2 linked regions of the Cricetulus griseus genome follow. The protein of the gene in region 2 binds, or shares a complex with, the protein of the main gene of each other region. Links are inferred from orthologs where the notes say so. Each region holds a gene or a part of one and is shown on either strand. Other genes may lie near its edges.

Region 1 (8,019 bases), on a different chromosome or scaffold from region 2:
TGGCCTGAGGCAGGGTCTCACTAAGCAGCTCACACTGGCCTGGAACTCACAGATCCTCCTGCCTCTGCCTCTGGGATTACAGGTGTGTGCCACCTCGCTTGGCTAGTCACCATGCTTCACAGAGAGACCGAAATGAAATGCTTCAATCAGCTGCTTTCATGAAAGCCCTACAGTGGAATGAGTGAGTGCTTTCACTGTTGATCTGGGGGATTTGGGTTAATCCCAGAGATTTGAAGTAATGGTTTACAGTTCAAAGTCTCTACTTACCAATCCTCAGGTTGGAAGATGCCGCCAAAGCTGCATCCCCCTGATGATGGCGATGGAAAGAGAAACTGCGATGCTGACCTCAACTCACAGGAAACACACTGTCTGCCGCACCACAACTCTTACTTAACTGAACAACTTCCTTCTGGCCTCTGTGCCCTCCTACCCACCTTTGTTTCCATTTCGGAAGATAAGTCCTGATTCATGCTCTGAATCTTTCAACAGTCCGTTCTCTACCTTGACAAACCAGTTTAATCTCATAATCGGTTTAACACCTCAAGCAATTTGTATGGCCTCTTGGCCTCTCACCAAAAGCTGATCCTCTTTTCTTGGGGGACCTGCTTCTTCAACATCCCACCCAAACCCTGCCCCCATGCTCCTGGAGCTCCAGGGAAGGCTAACACTACCATAAGAGACATTCTGCACTCTTCAGGAAAGGCAGTACCTCCTGCTGCCTGAGGACAGGGCTGTCAACAAATATTTGTTCCATGAATAAACATGCACAGTCACTTCCCCATAGGCTGTTTTATTTTCAGATAGGGCCTTTTGTAGCTCAGGTTTTCTCTGTTGCCAAGGATGATCTTGAATTTCTTATCCTTCTGACTCCACCTTTGTAGCACTGCGATTATAACCATATAGGACCATACTGGTTTATACCGTGCTAGGAATGGATTCCAGGGCTTAGTGCATGCTGGGTAAGCACTCTACTGACTGAGCTACATTCTCTACTTCCAGGCTATGGTTTAAGTGGACTAAAGAGTCAGTGTGTTTCTATCTCACCATCAACCAAGACAACCCTGAGGATTGCCTTCGGGTTCTAGTCCTGTGAGCAGGACTTGTATGGTTTTAGGAGAATCCTTTTACCCCTGAGGTCTCTGAAACCCCAGCGATAAGGATAAGACCAGAGCACTGGAGTCAAGTGGACCAGGTCTGTTAAAGTCCCGCCCAACTACCATCTACCATCTACAATCTCTACACCCCTGCAAGATTCCGGACTCAGACTCCAAGTGTCCTTATTATTAAGCATCTTGCAGGTGATGTGGGACCACTGGACAGATAGCCATCAGAATATAATAAATGTTCCTCAGCTAACTCTTCTGATGCTGACCAGGACATTGGATGCTGTAACACTGTATCCAGCTGGCACTGGACTTGGCCACATTCTCTCCCGAGTGTTTTATTCTCAGTGGCTCTGTGAGGTGGGGAGGTTTGGAGGCAGGCCATGCAGTCTGTAAGGGCTTAGGTTTGAGTTCTGGCTTTCATTAATCTCACTTGTAAAGTGGGGCTACCAGTGACACCTTCCTTCACTGGGTTGGCTAGCCGGAAGGAAGGAGATGTGCACGCATGAAGGATATTTGGGACAATCTCTGATCAGGACAAGTGCCCAGGAAAAATGGCAAGATCAGTTTCAAGGGGGTACATTTTCCAAATTGCACTCTTGTAGCAGACAAAGTCTCCTTCAAAGCCGTGAGATGATTTATTGAAAAGGAAGTAACTGAATCCAGGCTAGGCCTGGATACGGCTGTAACCTAGATCCTGCCTTTATTTCCATGGTTTACCACTGTGCCCTTCTTACTTCATCTTACCACCCTGACTGTGTAAGGCCCAGAAGCTGTCCACACAGCTATGAGGGGCTGCCTTCCTAAAAACCTCTGGCTGGAGAAGAGGCTTGGCTGGCATGAGAACTTCCTGTGGGTAGAGACCAACATTCAGGCTCAGTGACCGGCCTACTGCGGGTCCCGCTTGCTCTTCCTTCTTCCCAGGCTGGTGGCTCACTATGCTTCCATCCAACACCTAATCCATGTCCTATGCGAATCACAGCAGGGTCTTTTCCTCATTTTAACAAAAAGAGGTCTGGGGAGACCACAAAGGGAGCTAACACAGGATGGCCTAGGCATGGCCATGTTTAGTTTTGTCAACCAGAGGCTAGGGATGTTATAACTCCTGGAGAAGGAGAGGAATAATTTGCTTGGCTCTCCTAGAACTGTGGCATTCAAAATGAAATGCTCAAGGCAGAACAATAGAGAACTGAAATGAAATATGGACGGAACATCTCTAATCTAAAAACCGTAACCTATAATGCTCAAAAGTCCATACTTTCTGGGTTCTATATCCTGCCATACCAGTGAACAATCCCACAGCACACCTTATACGATGGTTACAGTCAAGGCAGTTGCACTAAAGACATATAGAATTACTTTAGAGCTATGTGCATGAGAAATACCAATGAATTCCCAAGAGATCTCATTATAAATATGCAAATATTCCAAAATAGAAAAAAAAAATCCAAAGTATGTTCTTGAGCATCTGAGGCAAAGGGACACTTAGATGTGTAACCCATTCTTTTAAAATATCTATATTGGATATACTTTGTAACTTATAAATAAGCCATGTACTAAAATGGAACATCTATGTACCCTGCTAACATTTATCTCACATGCTAACATGTCAGGCCTGCTTTGTCTCACAAGCTAGCAACTCGTTTATTCCTCCCAATGATGCTGACAAGTGCCATCAACATTGTCATCCCTATCGGACAGTGGAGGAAAAGACGACACATGGGTTAAATAACCAGCCCCAGTCACATGGGCCATTAAAGAGCAGGGGCATGATCCTATAACCTCTGGCAGTTTGGCCCCTATGGCTTGTCACATACCTTGCACATACAGATGTGCACAGATTGAGGGCAGAAGATGGGTTTCGCTGCCGCCAAGGAACATGATTCAGATCCAGGATGTGGTGGCAGAGGAGTCACATGCTGCTGTGTCTTGTGGCTTGTAGCCAATGTATGGGAAGAGGCTGGAAGTCACAGATAGACTGCCCATGTTTCCCTTCCATGGCTTTCTTTCAACAAACATTTAACCATTTGCTTTTGTTTGGGGCCCTGTGCACACTGTGAGGATTCAATGATAACTGGAAGATGGGTTATAAGTCCCACAGAGCTGATGCAACTCACATGTCGTGGAACAGTATTAGAAGCTCTGAGAAATCCCTACTGGGTGAGGAAGTGACAGTTGCCAGTTTGTCTTTTCCATCAAAATGATGGCACTGCCCTATTTTAAAGACCAGAGGTGATACCAGAATACTTTGCCCTCAAAGCAACTTGCTGCCCAGCTGTGAGTGGCATGTAACTGATTGACAACAAGTATACTTAGGGCCAAGTAGAGGAAGGGAAGAGAGAGAGAGAGAGAGAGAGAGAGAGAGAGAGAGAGAGAGAGAGAGAGAGAGAGAGAGAGAGAGAGAGAGAGAGAATGCACTTCACCTAGGCAGAGTGTTAACCTCTGCCTAGAGTCCTGACACCCCCAGTACACTGGAATCAGAATGTTTCTCAGGCCACCACTTGACGATTAATTGCAAGAACCAACAGATACATTGTTGAAGTTTCTATAGCTCTGCTCCCTGTGGATGCTGTAACTCAACTGTCACCTTTCCTGGGTCAGGAAGCATGTGCCCCTTGCTAATCCTGAGGGCTGACATTTGTCAAAGTGGCTCTCTCCATTTAACACCAGGAAACAAGGAAATCTCAGAGAGCAGCCTCTGGACATGCTGCTGCATGACATCAACCACCTAGGCAGTCCATGTGGCTTCCACCTCTGCACTTGCCCACGTCTAGCTAGGTAATATTTCTCATGCGTTACCTCGGAACATAAGACATACACCCAGGAGAAAAGAAACAGGGTTTCCAGAGCTCAATTCTGGAATCGATGATCAAAACAATAGTTAGGTTTAAAGGAGAAGTCATCCATGCCAAAAAGACATTTTTTTTCTATGAAGCCAAACAAAGTTAGAATTATGACTATAAGTAGCTGTGGAATAGAAGAGGTCTACTCCAGGAATTATGGGTAGAGATTCGGGGCATGATCAAGGTGAATAAAGTTTTTCTTTCATCTTAACTACAGATGGCTCAGAAACACCGAAGAACACGGTTCTCCTTCCAGAACGGTCAAAATTAAGGTGAGTTGGTAATCTATATATAGCAGGCAGAAGTCTTGCTATGTGTGCCTGAGGCTTTAAATATGGAATGCATATTTATCCGGAATAATTCATATTCATGCATATGGAGTAATATACCTTTCAGCCTTGTTCTCATGGTAAGCCACATACAGTTAGATTATAAAAGCTCAGGTCAGTGGAAGTTAGGTAGTGCCTGTGTCAATGTGTCGTGTCACAGAATTTAGTAAGGAGAACGGGAATGACCAAAAGTATCTAAATCCAGACTGAAAGCTATGGTCAGCTGTCAGCTGCTAAACACACTGTTCCAAGCCGGCACAATTTTATCTTTTTACATTTTGAGCTAGATATCTTCATAGTAAAATTATTAATTTCCATGCCCTGATTTGAAGGCACAGACAGTACAATATATTTTAGAGCTGCTTTGAAGAATTTTTGATGCGGGGATATGTCTATTTTCTATACAGCACAATCGCATCTCTGCCGGCTTGTCAGAGGCAGACTGCAGCCAACACAAGCATGCTGACGCCGGGAGAGAACCCATCCCCCGAATGGCTGAGCGCACACACTCTGCAGCCACCATCTCACCAGTGATCTCCATTGTAACCAAAACAGAAAGACACAGAGATAGCAGCGGCTGCCTGGGTCGCGGGTGCAGCTGTCAGCTGAAATGGTACTTACTGTTTATGAGAAAAAACCATTCCTTAGGTTTCAGCGGAAGCTCCAAGTTCCCGGCTGCACCTCTACCTCCTGGCCAGGCGGCCCCTCCCCCTGCCCAGCCTGCCCTCTTCATTCACTGGCTCACTATCTTCCAACCAGGCCCTCCCCAAGGCTCCTCATCTGAGGCACCAGCTCCGGCTGGCTTACCAGCACAGGGCTCCCGCTGGAAGCAAGACACCTTTTCTACGCTCTGCAATATTTAATCTGTTTTTCCCGCTTGCAAAAAAGAAAATGTCTCTCTCCAGCTCTCCTCACACACAGCCTTTGTTCTGACGCTACAGGATTGCGAGGCTGAGAGGAGAAAGTCCCAGCGTTATCTTGGCACCGTGATATGTATGAAGTGCTATAAAGCCAGGGAGGAAACATTTCGATTGGGAACATGGGGGGAAAAAAGATTTCTGGTCTATAATTTTTCTGTGTCATGTTCACCACCAGCAGTGCAAACTGAAGCCAGAGCCATTTAGGGGTGCCTTCCTCAGGTCCAGAAGAAGAGTTTTCCCTGAGGAGTTTTCCTCTTGCCTTAGATCTGCTGTCCTGCCTGAGAAGGCCAGAGTTCATTTTCTCTGTTCCACTGACTGCTGCAGAGGGACTCCGCCTTGCAGTACAAATGGACCTCAAGATAGAGGAAGAGATTTGAGCTTCTCCCTGGGTTTTCCAAAATGCAGGAACATGGAAATCCTTCTTTCTCCTATGGAAATGGGTCAGGCTTGCTTCTTTCCCTGTTTTGAGAGTTGATCTCCTGTGTGTTCCTACAACCCACCTCTTAAGCCATTAATCTATCCCCACCTTGGAGAGCAAAGCCTCCTCTACCAGTGCAACAGCATGCAGGCTTGGCAACATTATTCATAAATGCTGCTGTTTTGTTCATTCCCACATGCTGGGCTGGGCCTGTGACCTCCTACTACAGGACAGGACATGGAGGCTCACTCCCTGACCTCGCACATCAGGCCAGTTGCTTCCCATTTGCTGATGGCTGCTCTCTCCTTGGGGAAGCCCTTGACTCCCAGGAAGACATTTCTGCAGGGTGTGTAACAGCAGTCACGTGCTCCAAGGTAGAATGGTTGGGCCGATGACAAGGAAAAGATAAATGTGGAGGCCAACCTCCAGCTCCTTCCAGGCACCTGTGGTGACTAAAGTAAGACAGCTTCCTAACTGGCAGCATTGTTTGGCCTTTCACAGTGACCTTGAGAAAATACAGATAGGAGAGCCATGAAAAGTGCTGGCCCATTCTCCAAAGGATGAAAAACAATCGTAGCCCATGGTTGCCAGGGTAATAACTGTTGAGCTTAAGTGACAACATTTTACTTGCTATTTGTATAAACTTGATAGGCTTTTCACGATGGTAGGGGAAATGTGAGAAGAATGTTTAATTTCTTCCAGTGTCTTTCCAGGGACTTGCTATTTCTGAAAACAAAAGAGCCACCCAATGTCCACAGGGAGGGACTAGTCTTTTTTGTTTACAAGCTACTGAAGTCTCTCCTTCATACTCTAGTGTAAGGGTACTAAGCTGTTCATGATGATGACATCGAGGAGGCATTCGAGAGAATGGTAACAACATTTTCCTGAGAAACTACAGATCAACAGAGTGAAAATGATCTCTGTGATCCTCACACAAGGGGGACTGTCCATGTAAACCTTCCCAAGGGAGCTCTTCCAGGCACTGGAAAGTTTCATCAGCTCATTCACCCACACCACTGGACACAGTCTTTAAAATGGTCCCGTCCTAGGGCTGAGGAGATAGCTCAGTTGGTAAAGTGTGTGTAACACAAGCATAAGGACCAGTGTTCAGATCCCCAGTATCTATAGAAAAGCTGAGCGTGGTGGTATGCATACTTGTAGCCCTAGCTTGGGAATGGGGGCGGGGATGTACAGGAGGCAAGTGCATTGCAAGATCTCACTGGTCAGCCATCTAGCCAATCCATGAATTTGTTGGGGCTGTGAGATGCCATGGAGACAGATGTGTGTTGGATGGATGCTTGATTGTCTTGGCAAGCTCTCCTTTGAATCTCAGTCCTCACAGATACCCTGCTAGGGAGGCAAGAAGCAGGGCTTGTGCATGGTTTCTCAGCATAGGGACTGAGGCGCAAGACTTATTCATCATTTGTGATTTATTTCACTCCACTACTCATGTGTTTCTCAAACAGAGTTCCCATCAAGAGCACCACACCTTGCCGTCACATCTGCACACGTTAGGAATGAAGGTCTTGGCCTCACCTGGACCTGTGGATGGAGCAGCTCTAGACGTGCTTGGGGCACTGAGGTAGGTTATGACACATGCTGAAGCTTGAGAACCACTGTCTTCCAGGAGACAGTACCTGACAATGAGCTCTAGGTTTCAGAAAAATTCTATATGGTGCCTTGGAAACCCAGCATCCCAAAGGAGTTGGACATGTCTTTAAAATACATTGTGCAGTGAGACAGACAGACTTTGGCTCCTGTTCCTGCCCTGAGTGGATGTCATTTTCCTTTTCTGAGTGGCAGTTCCCTCTCTGTAAATGAGAAGGCTTCAGCTGACCATGCAGTGTTGTCTCAAGAGCCAAAACAGCAAATGTGAGGAGCCTAGCTGTCTGAAATGATCAGATGTAATGTAGCTTTAAGAAACCTGTTATGTGGTACTAATTATTTTGAAATTTGTTGAGAATAAAACTAAAGTATTAGATTTTTTTTTTTTGTGTGTGGGGTGTCTTTCTTTTCTTTTTAACCAGTGAAGGAGACCTGCTTTAGTGGGCTTTAGAGTACTAAATACTATGCCAGGCTTTCAACTTTAAGGTCTGTGGTGAAGATCTCACAGGGTTCTAGTCATTTTGTGCTTCCAACTAGGGTGGTATGGGGCGCGTGCACGCGCGTGCACGCGCATGTGTGTGTGTGTGTGTGTGTGTGTACACTGTCTTGAGTTAAGATCCTGGTCGCATTGAGAGCTGCCTCTGTTAGTTGGTTAAGGTTACTTAACTTTAGCCCTCAGTTTTTTTTTTTTATAAGTAAATTGGGATGATGGTACCAACCTTTCAGAATGCCATCAAAAATTAAGTGAGGACTAGAGAGATGGCTCAGCCGGTAAAGACTTGAACTCTATCCCTGGGATGC
Region 2 (7,904 bases):
TGCCTGCAGCCCGGAGGCCGCGCCCGTCGGGGCTGACTCCGAGGGCGGCCCGTGGGCCCCTTTTCTGAGCCCGGCCTCGCCCCGCTGGAGCTGACGCTGCAATAAAGGTGGCGAGGCGGCGTGGGGAGGCGCCGAACTGCGGTCCCGGGCGGGCAGCCCTGGGCCTGTCCCTTCCCACGCCCCGCCGCGTTCCCCCGGGACCCTGGCCACCGAGCTCAGGCACCGGCCGGCCGCGCTATACATAGTGTACAGGAGACATCGCGTGTATTTTTAATGTCCCCATATTTCTGTAACTAGAAGCGCAACGGACTCCTCACCACGGCCGCGCTCTCCCCGCTGTGGGCACCCAGGGAGGCGGAAGCCCCGGGAGCCAGGTTTCCGTGCGCCCGCCCGAGCCGAGCCGAGAGCCAAGCGCTTTAAGGCCTGCGCTCTCCCTCCCTTCCCTGTCCACACCCTGGGCCTCCCTCTCTTCCTTCCAGTTCTTGGCAAACACAGGTGAGACGGCGGCGGCCAGCTTCGGTGGATGCGAGCTTTCTGGCGGCCAGGAGAGCGAGGGGTCCATCCTCCAAGGGGAGAAACCGAGGCCCGCACCTACCGAGCAAGCCCCGCCCGGTGCCTTCGCGGAGGAGCTTGCCGCCTGCTCCCCATATCCCGTGGCTCCTCGCCAAAGACTGAATTTGTGGAGCTGGAGGGCGGCACCCCCTCCCCAGTTTCCTCCCTGAGACAGGCGAGAGTCGTGGGGCCAATGCCAGTCTAGAGGCCCGGGCAGCCTCTGATGTTCCCTCCCTTGGTCCCCCATCTGCAGGTCCTGCCTGGGGACCCAGCTGCCTACTGAGTGCTCTGAAGATGGGCCTTGCTGCCTAGTAGCAGGTCCTTAGAGCTACGTCTCCCAGACACCAGGTCCTGGAGCAGGGCTGGAGTCACGTGGGCTCTGTTGTTCCTGGCGCTTTTCTGCCCTCTTCTGACTTGGACCCAAGGCCTTTGGCTTCCCTAACTCGTCCTTGGCGCTTCCGCTCCACCAGCCCCACCTGTGGGGAGGTGCCCTCAGTCCTTAGAAAGGCGTTTGGCCGGTTCCCTTCCCCTAGGGCACGTTACTAAGGGGACAGGCACTGCATGCTCCTTTAAGCGCCCTCTGGGACTGGGTACAGTGCCACCAGCCCCAGGGCCCTGGCCTGCGCACCTAGTTAGACATCCTGCCCACTCCAAGGCCGGGGCCACTAGCTGACCTCACCACCTCCTTTCCCATGAGCCCAAGCAGAAAGCTGCAGCTGATGCCATCTAGACAGGGTCAGGTGTGGCCTGTGGCAGGGCTGGAAGTTCGCTGCTCGGCTGCTGGGCCCATGGCCCCTCTGCGGTTTGATGGGGACTGGATATTCTTCCAGGCAGTATCCAAAAAGTTGGAAGTGTAGGACCCAGGACCTGTCATCCTTCAAGACTGCCCTCCCTTGCCGTGGTCTTGCCTTTTGGGGCAAGAGAGGGGCTGCGCAGAAGAGGCTTTATCAACATCAGTTAGGGAACCAAAGTTGCACTACCTGGGCCCAGACTCTGGTTGGCAAGAGCAAAGTTTCCGTTGATGAAAACAAACATCCCACAACAAAACCCCAAGTTTTCTGTGCTCCATGTGCAATATTTGTTATGAACCTTGTGTCGTTCAAGTCACCTTTATAATCTTGTAGCTAGATGTTCCATGTCCATCCAGGTGACTTTTACTCTGAGTGCAATATTTCAATAGCCTGGTAGTAAGAAGGAGTGTTGCTTTTGTTTCAGCCGACCTATGTGCAGGGCAATGCAATGCAAGTCCAAAACCCTTGTAAATAGGAGAGGTTGCAAGCCAAATCAAGAGTATTTATCGTTATTACTATTATTATTAGGCCTGCCTTTAATTTTAGTGTTTTGGTATTTCGCATCCTGCCTCGGTATTGATCTTGTGTTCTTTGTGCCAATATGCAAAGGAGAGGGTCGGTCTTTCCTTTATTGTTGAATGCTCCCATTTAATGCTTTAAGGCTTTTACTGTGTTAATTTTTTAGATACCTGTCTGCACACAATGCAATAAAAATAATTTTATTACACCCTTGATAGCCTAAGGGGTACAGTTTGGACACTTCAGGAGGAAGTCAAATCCACTGTTGACAGAAGTTTTGTTTTTTTTGAGACAGGAGCTCACAGAGCCCAGGCTGGCTTGGAACTTGGCTATGTAGCCAAGGATGACCTTGAACTTCCAATCCTCTTGCTGCCACCTTCGAAGTCCTGGGGATTTTATGTGTGGACCACCATATCCAGTTAGAGCAGGACTCTTGGGTGGGAAAACAGCCCTCTCTGCTCATAGAAGAAGTGAGTACACCAGCTTTGGGGCCCCGCGCCTGAGCCCGGAGGTGCTTCCTAGGTGTCAGGTCACATGGCATCCTCTGGGAGGCAGCAAGTCCTTAGGGGAAGCTTGGGACATTGATGCCAAGTGTATTATAGGCTCTTCAGGGCTTTCAGGTTCTACCTACAGATTATGTCAAACTCCTGCACGACGGGCAGCAACAGAGACGAAGGCTAAAGAGGAATGCCTCTGCCTCTAACCATCATCCATAAAGACTTCTCACAATGGCTTCCTCCCCTATGTTTTGGCCACAACCCCTGGTAAGCTGTCTCTACTAGAAGCAGGTGCAGAGTAGGACAGGACTTGATGTGAGGCTATTGCTCTGTGCCATTACTAACACTTCTCAGCAGGTGGGCAGCACACTGAGGTTCAAGCTGGGTCAGGGATCCTAAGGCCTGATCTTGGGGCAAGTGCTCTGCAAAGAGATGCTGCAGATACACCCAAGAAAGATGAGCACAGGTCTGACTTTCTTATTTTAATTAAAAAGTAATTATTTCATTTTATCAACAACACAAGAGTTCCAAAGAGGGGGGGAAAAACCCCACCATATAACAAACAGATCAGAACATAAACTGCTGCCGTTTGGGGACCTTGGGTTTTGAATCTGGTTTGCTTAGCCCCTGGCAGGGACTCAGCTGGAGCTACCACTCTTGCTTGCTCTTCTAGGTCCCTCTTTCTCACAGATTTGATCCACAGGGTTCTAAATGAGCAGTCTTTCCCAAAGGAAAAGGAGTTATCCTTTGGATCCATTCAGGGTGGCATCCAGAGCCTTCCAAGTGTCACTTTGTCTCAAAAGTTATGAATGCTGTCCGTCTCAGAACATATCCAACTACTACAGTCTAACATCAAATGGTCCCTACCTCCTGCTCATCAGACAAGGGAACAAGAGTATGGATGAGAACGAAAGCCTGGGCTCCCACTGAAAACATGGGTGTCCAGTGCTGGAGACTGGAGCTGCCCTGTCAGTGCTGCTGGACACAAAGGTGCTGACTAATGCTGTGGAGAGCAGTGGGTCCCAGTCCCAGTTCATGTCAAACTGCCGAGTGAGCCGCACAGTCATCTGGAGACCCTCCAAGGAAATGGAAAACTACAAAACCAAACCAACCCCCCAGAGACCGTGTGACACAGGCACAAGAGTCCACTTTTCCCCAGTTCAGAGTAGCCAATGGGAGTCCTTGAGTGGAGTTCCATTCTCTTGATGGGACAGTGATGACACTGCCTGCCAAGGCCAACCTGCTTCTATGCGAGCCAGGCAGCTCAATTCTGGATGACGTGTGGAGGTGGAAACAAAGGCTGTCACCACTGACTCCATAAGTGGTGTTCAAACTGAGGCAGCTGGGGTTTGGCTTCTTTCTTTATTCCTCCAAATCCAGGCTGGGGCCAGAGCTACCCCATCAGAAAGAAGCTGAGCCTAGACCCCAGAAATACTTATTTTCTATCCAAACAAAAGATACAGTCCCGAAAGCAGTCTAAGTTCTGATTCTGTTAAGTGGTAAGCAACAGCCGCAGGAAGGAGCGGTGCAAGAAACTTAGGATATCTGATGCTGACCCAGAGAGTGCGAAGAACACTTCCAAACATCTCTACTTAGGATGAAGTGGGAGGGACCAGGGGAAAAGGGGACTAGGGAGAGTGGACTGGTGGAGCCTCAGTAATGCCTCTGGTATGATCCTATGGGGGCCTGGGGCCGCCCCACCTGTGCAGCAGTTTGGCTAACCAGGTGGGAAAGAGCAGGGCCACTCTGGATCAGGGTGTCCAGAGCCTTTTGTACACTTGGATTGTCAAAGTTAATACCTGTGGAAGATACAGGCCTCTGGCTAGCCATGTTGCTGGCAGGTGCCAGGCGACTGGAAGGCTGACCAAAGAGCCCTTGGGAAGGAGCCCCAGGCCTGGGGCCCATGTTCCGAGCAGACCCTGCCTGTCCCACAATGCTTGGAGGCTGATTTCCTGAGGCCTGTGGTCTTTGCTGAGGCTGGCTGTTTGCTGCTGTGGAAAAATTCTGGTTCTGGGAGCTCCCGGCAGCAACCGAGGGGGATGCAGAGCTGCTGTTGGCCGAGACCGTGCCACTGTTGAAGAGGCTGAGGATTTTGGCCTGAAGCTCTTGCTGGGAGGTTGGGGGTGCGGCTGGAGTGGGTGTAGCAGAGGGAAGCACTTGGCCACTCTGAAGCGGTTGGGAACTTGATTGTGTCTTCAGCGAGGTACCCGAGGCCGCCCCGAGTGGCTGGCGGGAAATCGGGCCTGGAAGACAAAAGAGGGAGGCATCTGGTTGAGAGTGCCCCCTAAGGGCAGGAGGCCTAGCAGCCAAAGGAAGAACAACAATCATACATCACAGCAATCGACAGTACAAACAATAACATCAAATTCTAAAAGGACCATCTCAGGATATGGTCCTGAGCTGAAAGCAGCCTAGAGCCCAAAAAATTGCTTGAAAAAAGGAATGAATAAACAAACAAACAAACAAACAAACAAGGGCATCCATCATAGCTCCCAGGGAGCCAACAATTGTAGTTTACCCCCCATTAAGCCAACTCCAGGGAGATCATTGCTAACAGCATCACCAGCGTGCACGGCCTGTGTGAGAGGCCAGTGGATGGCTCATTTCCCTTCCCCACCGCAGAGAACCCTGGGCATGCCCCCCTCCCCCGGGAGCACGGGATGAGAGAAATGCAGCGTGAGAAGAGAACTTCACCTCGGCCCTGCCACGTAGCTCACCAGGCAGAGCGTCGGCGGCGCTGCTCCTCAGGAGCCGCTCCTTCCGCCCACGCAGGTAGTCGATGACCCTGTCGGTCTCCTCTGCAGTGAGGTATCTGTTGTCTGCCAGCAGGTTGATGAGGCTCTGAATGGCTGGAGGGTGCCCCCCACGACCTCCCTCCTCAGGGCCTCCACGATCTCGTTCCTGTAGAATGGCTTCATTAGCCATCTTGGCTGCCTGTCGGGCAATCTCCTCACGTTCCTTTTCCCGACAGTTATTCTTGTAGCGTTCATAATTCCTGGCCACCAGCACCATGGCATCTGCCTGGGGCATGTTGCGATGCTCTGTAGGAGGCAATAACACAAGCTATTTTCTCCCATGATAGATCCGAGTGCCTTTCTTATTCTCAAAGCAGAGAAGCACTGCAGGGGCAAGAAGCCTTGAGCCTAGAGTAAGGCAGGCTGAGGGACAGAGCAGTGCTCTTCAGGGTGGACCATACCTTCCTACAGAGCTATTTCTTCAGTGAGATCCCTAGATCACAGACCTGTGATAAAAACCAAAGGAATACAAGAGCCTCCCACAGAGTCAAACAGACCATGTGGGGAGCAGCCTGCAGCCTCTAGACAGCAGCAGGAGGCCAAAGAAGCTCTGTAAAGCCTGGCTCCCCGCTGTGCTCCTCAGGGCAGAGCCACCACTTTTAAATCCATCAGTTCAAAAGTCATGGACCAAGATCAAATTGCAGAGTGGTGAGGACACTTCTTGGAATCTTACATAAACATTCTAATACAAACTAAGGGCAGCTCCTCAGGGACAAATGACTTGGGGATTCTAACATACCCTGTGACTATGGGTGTGACAGCCCAGGCCATCCGAGACACTGGGCAGGTGCAAAAGGGGAAGTTAGGCTTTAAGAGTCACAATCAGGGCATGGGTGGCTGAGTGTCAATGCTTGGAGGACGCTCAAAGCACCAAAGTCACTTTGAAGGATGACTCGAAGGATCCTGTCCTTCCTTTGGAGGGCCAGAGCCGCCTCCTGTCCTCATAACTCCTCTACTTGGTTCTCCGTTACACCGACAAACAGTACCCTGTCTGTGACAGTCTCTGTCTCCAGGAGCTGCATTTCAGGGAGCAGACGCCTAAGCCAGACTTCCCTGGGAGCCAGGTGTGCACAAGTCGTGACACTGGTGGCCTGAGATGGGGTACTATGGCAGTGCTGACGTCACGGAATCAGTGAATGCGACACATCACTGACCTCTACAGCAGAACTGGCTGTTGAACAGCTTGCAACAGGCCCAGTATTAGTATCAGAGAACACCAAGGAAAATATGATGATGAAAGTCTCCTAGATAGCACAAAAAGGAGCTGCTACATTGGAGATGAAACATATCAGCCACTCCCCCAAACCCACTTCTCACAAGCAGGTCACAGAATCAGTGTGCTGGCGACTATCTCTGGGAATTTGGACTACTTGGGTCTCTGTACCTTGTGGAGTTCCAAACATGATGTTGACTGTACAGGAGCGGTGAATCTGGTGCTGCTGGGTGATGACAATGGCAAAGGGAGACCCTCCCCTGCTGACATCCTCCAGCGCTTGTGACAATGACACCTCTGTGTTAAGGAAGATCAGGTCCACAACCATGCCGAGGTCTCGCACCTTCCGCCCCACAGACTCAGCATAGTCCCTGTAAGAACAAACAGGATCCGGGTGAGCACTATCTAGCCACATCTTAATCAGCACACTGCTGGATCCCAGCCTGCTGTGTCTCCTTTTCAGAACTCAGGCTCTAGCCCACCCAGTATTAGGGTTCTAGTTTTAACTTGCCTATAGGCCCGCAAGGAAACTGCCAGTAGGATAGTTTTAAATATCAAGGTGGAGCTTACTTCACGAGGAAAGATTTGGTCAACTGAGGAACTTTAGCTTCCCAGCTAATTACTCTGGACCCTAACATAGTAACGTACGAAGGACACTAGAAAAAGCATCGCAAGCTTCACTTCAAGGCCCGAGTCCTCACAGTCTCACTCACTCAAAGGAAAAAACGGCATCTTCCCCGTCATTCTCATGCCATTCAGATGTTCAAAATGGGAAGAGCCCATCCCAGTCATGGAACAAACATCACCAGAGGGATGCCGGAGGCACGGGGCGCGCTTCTTCCATGTGTGCTGTGTTGTCATTTCAAAGAGCAGCACTTGTCACAGCAGTGCAGGTGTTGTCAACAGTCGAGTCACACTCCCCAACACTGGGCACTCTGCAGGGCCTTCTAGAGTGCATGGCAACTGAAGCCACAGGACAGGAGCAAAGCTCCAGAGAGCAAAAATGCCCAGGCCCCCCAGACTCGCCACTCCCATCAGCCTCTGCCTTAAGATCTCAATAATGGAGTGCTCTGGTGGATCTCCAGTGGGTCTTTTGCTGTCTCTTAGCCCCTCAAGGTTGAATTGTTTCTCAGGGGTCAATCCTTCAGGATTTTTTTCCATTATTTGCTGTCTACCTATTAAGGGCCATGACAACAATATCATGAGGATGTCACCAAGAGATCAGATACAGCACCTTTCTGACCTTCCCCTAAGGTATCTTTCATAATTTTGCTAAGTTTTTAAACTTGATCTCTTCCTGTTTATCTTCTGGAAGTTCCAAGCCATCTTTAGTAGCTGACACATCTTCCCTCAATACTCTTCAGCTATTGGACACAGTAACCACCAACGAGCTCAGTCATACAGATCACTTCTGAGACTCCCCTGGGAGAAAACAGATGTGTTTCTGGTCTTCAGAAGAAACCACCTTACCCCTAGAAGCAGCCATGTTGTATCGGATAAACTATGAGAGTATCTGACTGGGAGGATGTCATAAAAC

Evidence for each region. The genes of interacting proteins can lie anywhere in the genome.
Region 1: the proteins of Ncoa5 (region 2) and Esr2 are in contact, whole or in part, in a crystal structure (PDB 4ZI1), measured with the Homo sapiens proteins. The link is inferred for Cricetulus griseus from reciprocal best matches to the Homo sapiens genes NCOA5 and ESR2. Residues at the interface, in NP_066018.1 of Homo sapiens: Ser344, Leu345, Ile346, Leu348, Leu349, Ala350, Asp351; in NP_001428.1 of Homo sapiens: Ile310, Lys314, Phe319, Leu324, Gln327, Val328, Leu331, Glu332, Leu490, Glu493, Met494.

What each region holds. Positions count from the first base shown.
Region 1 is NC_048598.1:127,398,796-127,406,814, forward strand, and holds the end of Esr2 (estrogen receptor beta), read left to right. Parts: intron 1-4,163; coding exon 4,164-4,218; intron 4,219-4,682; coding exon 4,683-5,138; 3' UTR 5,139-7,600; downstream 7,601-8,019.
Region 2 is NC_048599.1:14,418,551-14,426,454, reverse strand, and holds the end of Ncoa5 (nuclear receptor coactivator 5), read right to left. Parts: intron 6,739-7,904; coding exon 6,539-6,738; intron 5,401-6,538; coding exon 5,077-5,400; coding exon of another isoform or gene 5,054-5,076; intron 4,603-5,053; coding exon 4,013-4,602; 3' UTR 2,829-4,012; downstream 1-2,828. UniProt on the Homo sapiens protein: Nuclear receptor coregulator that can have both coactivator and corepressor functions.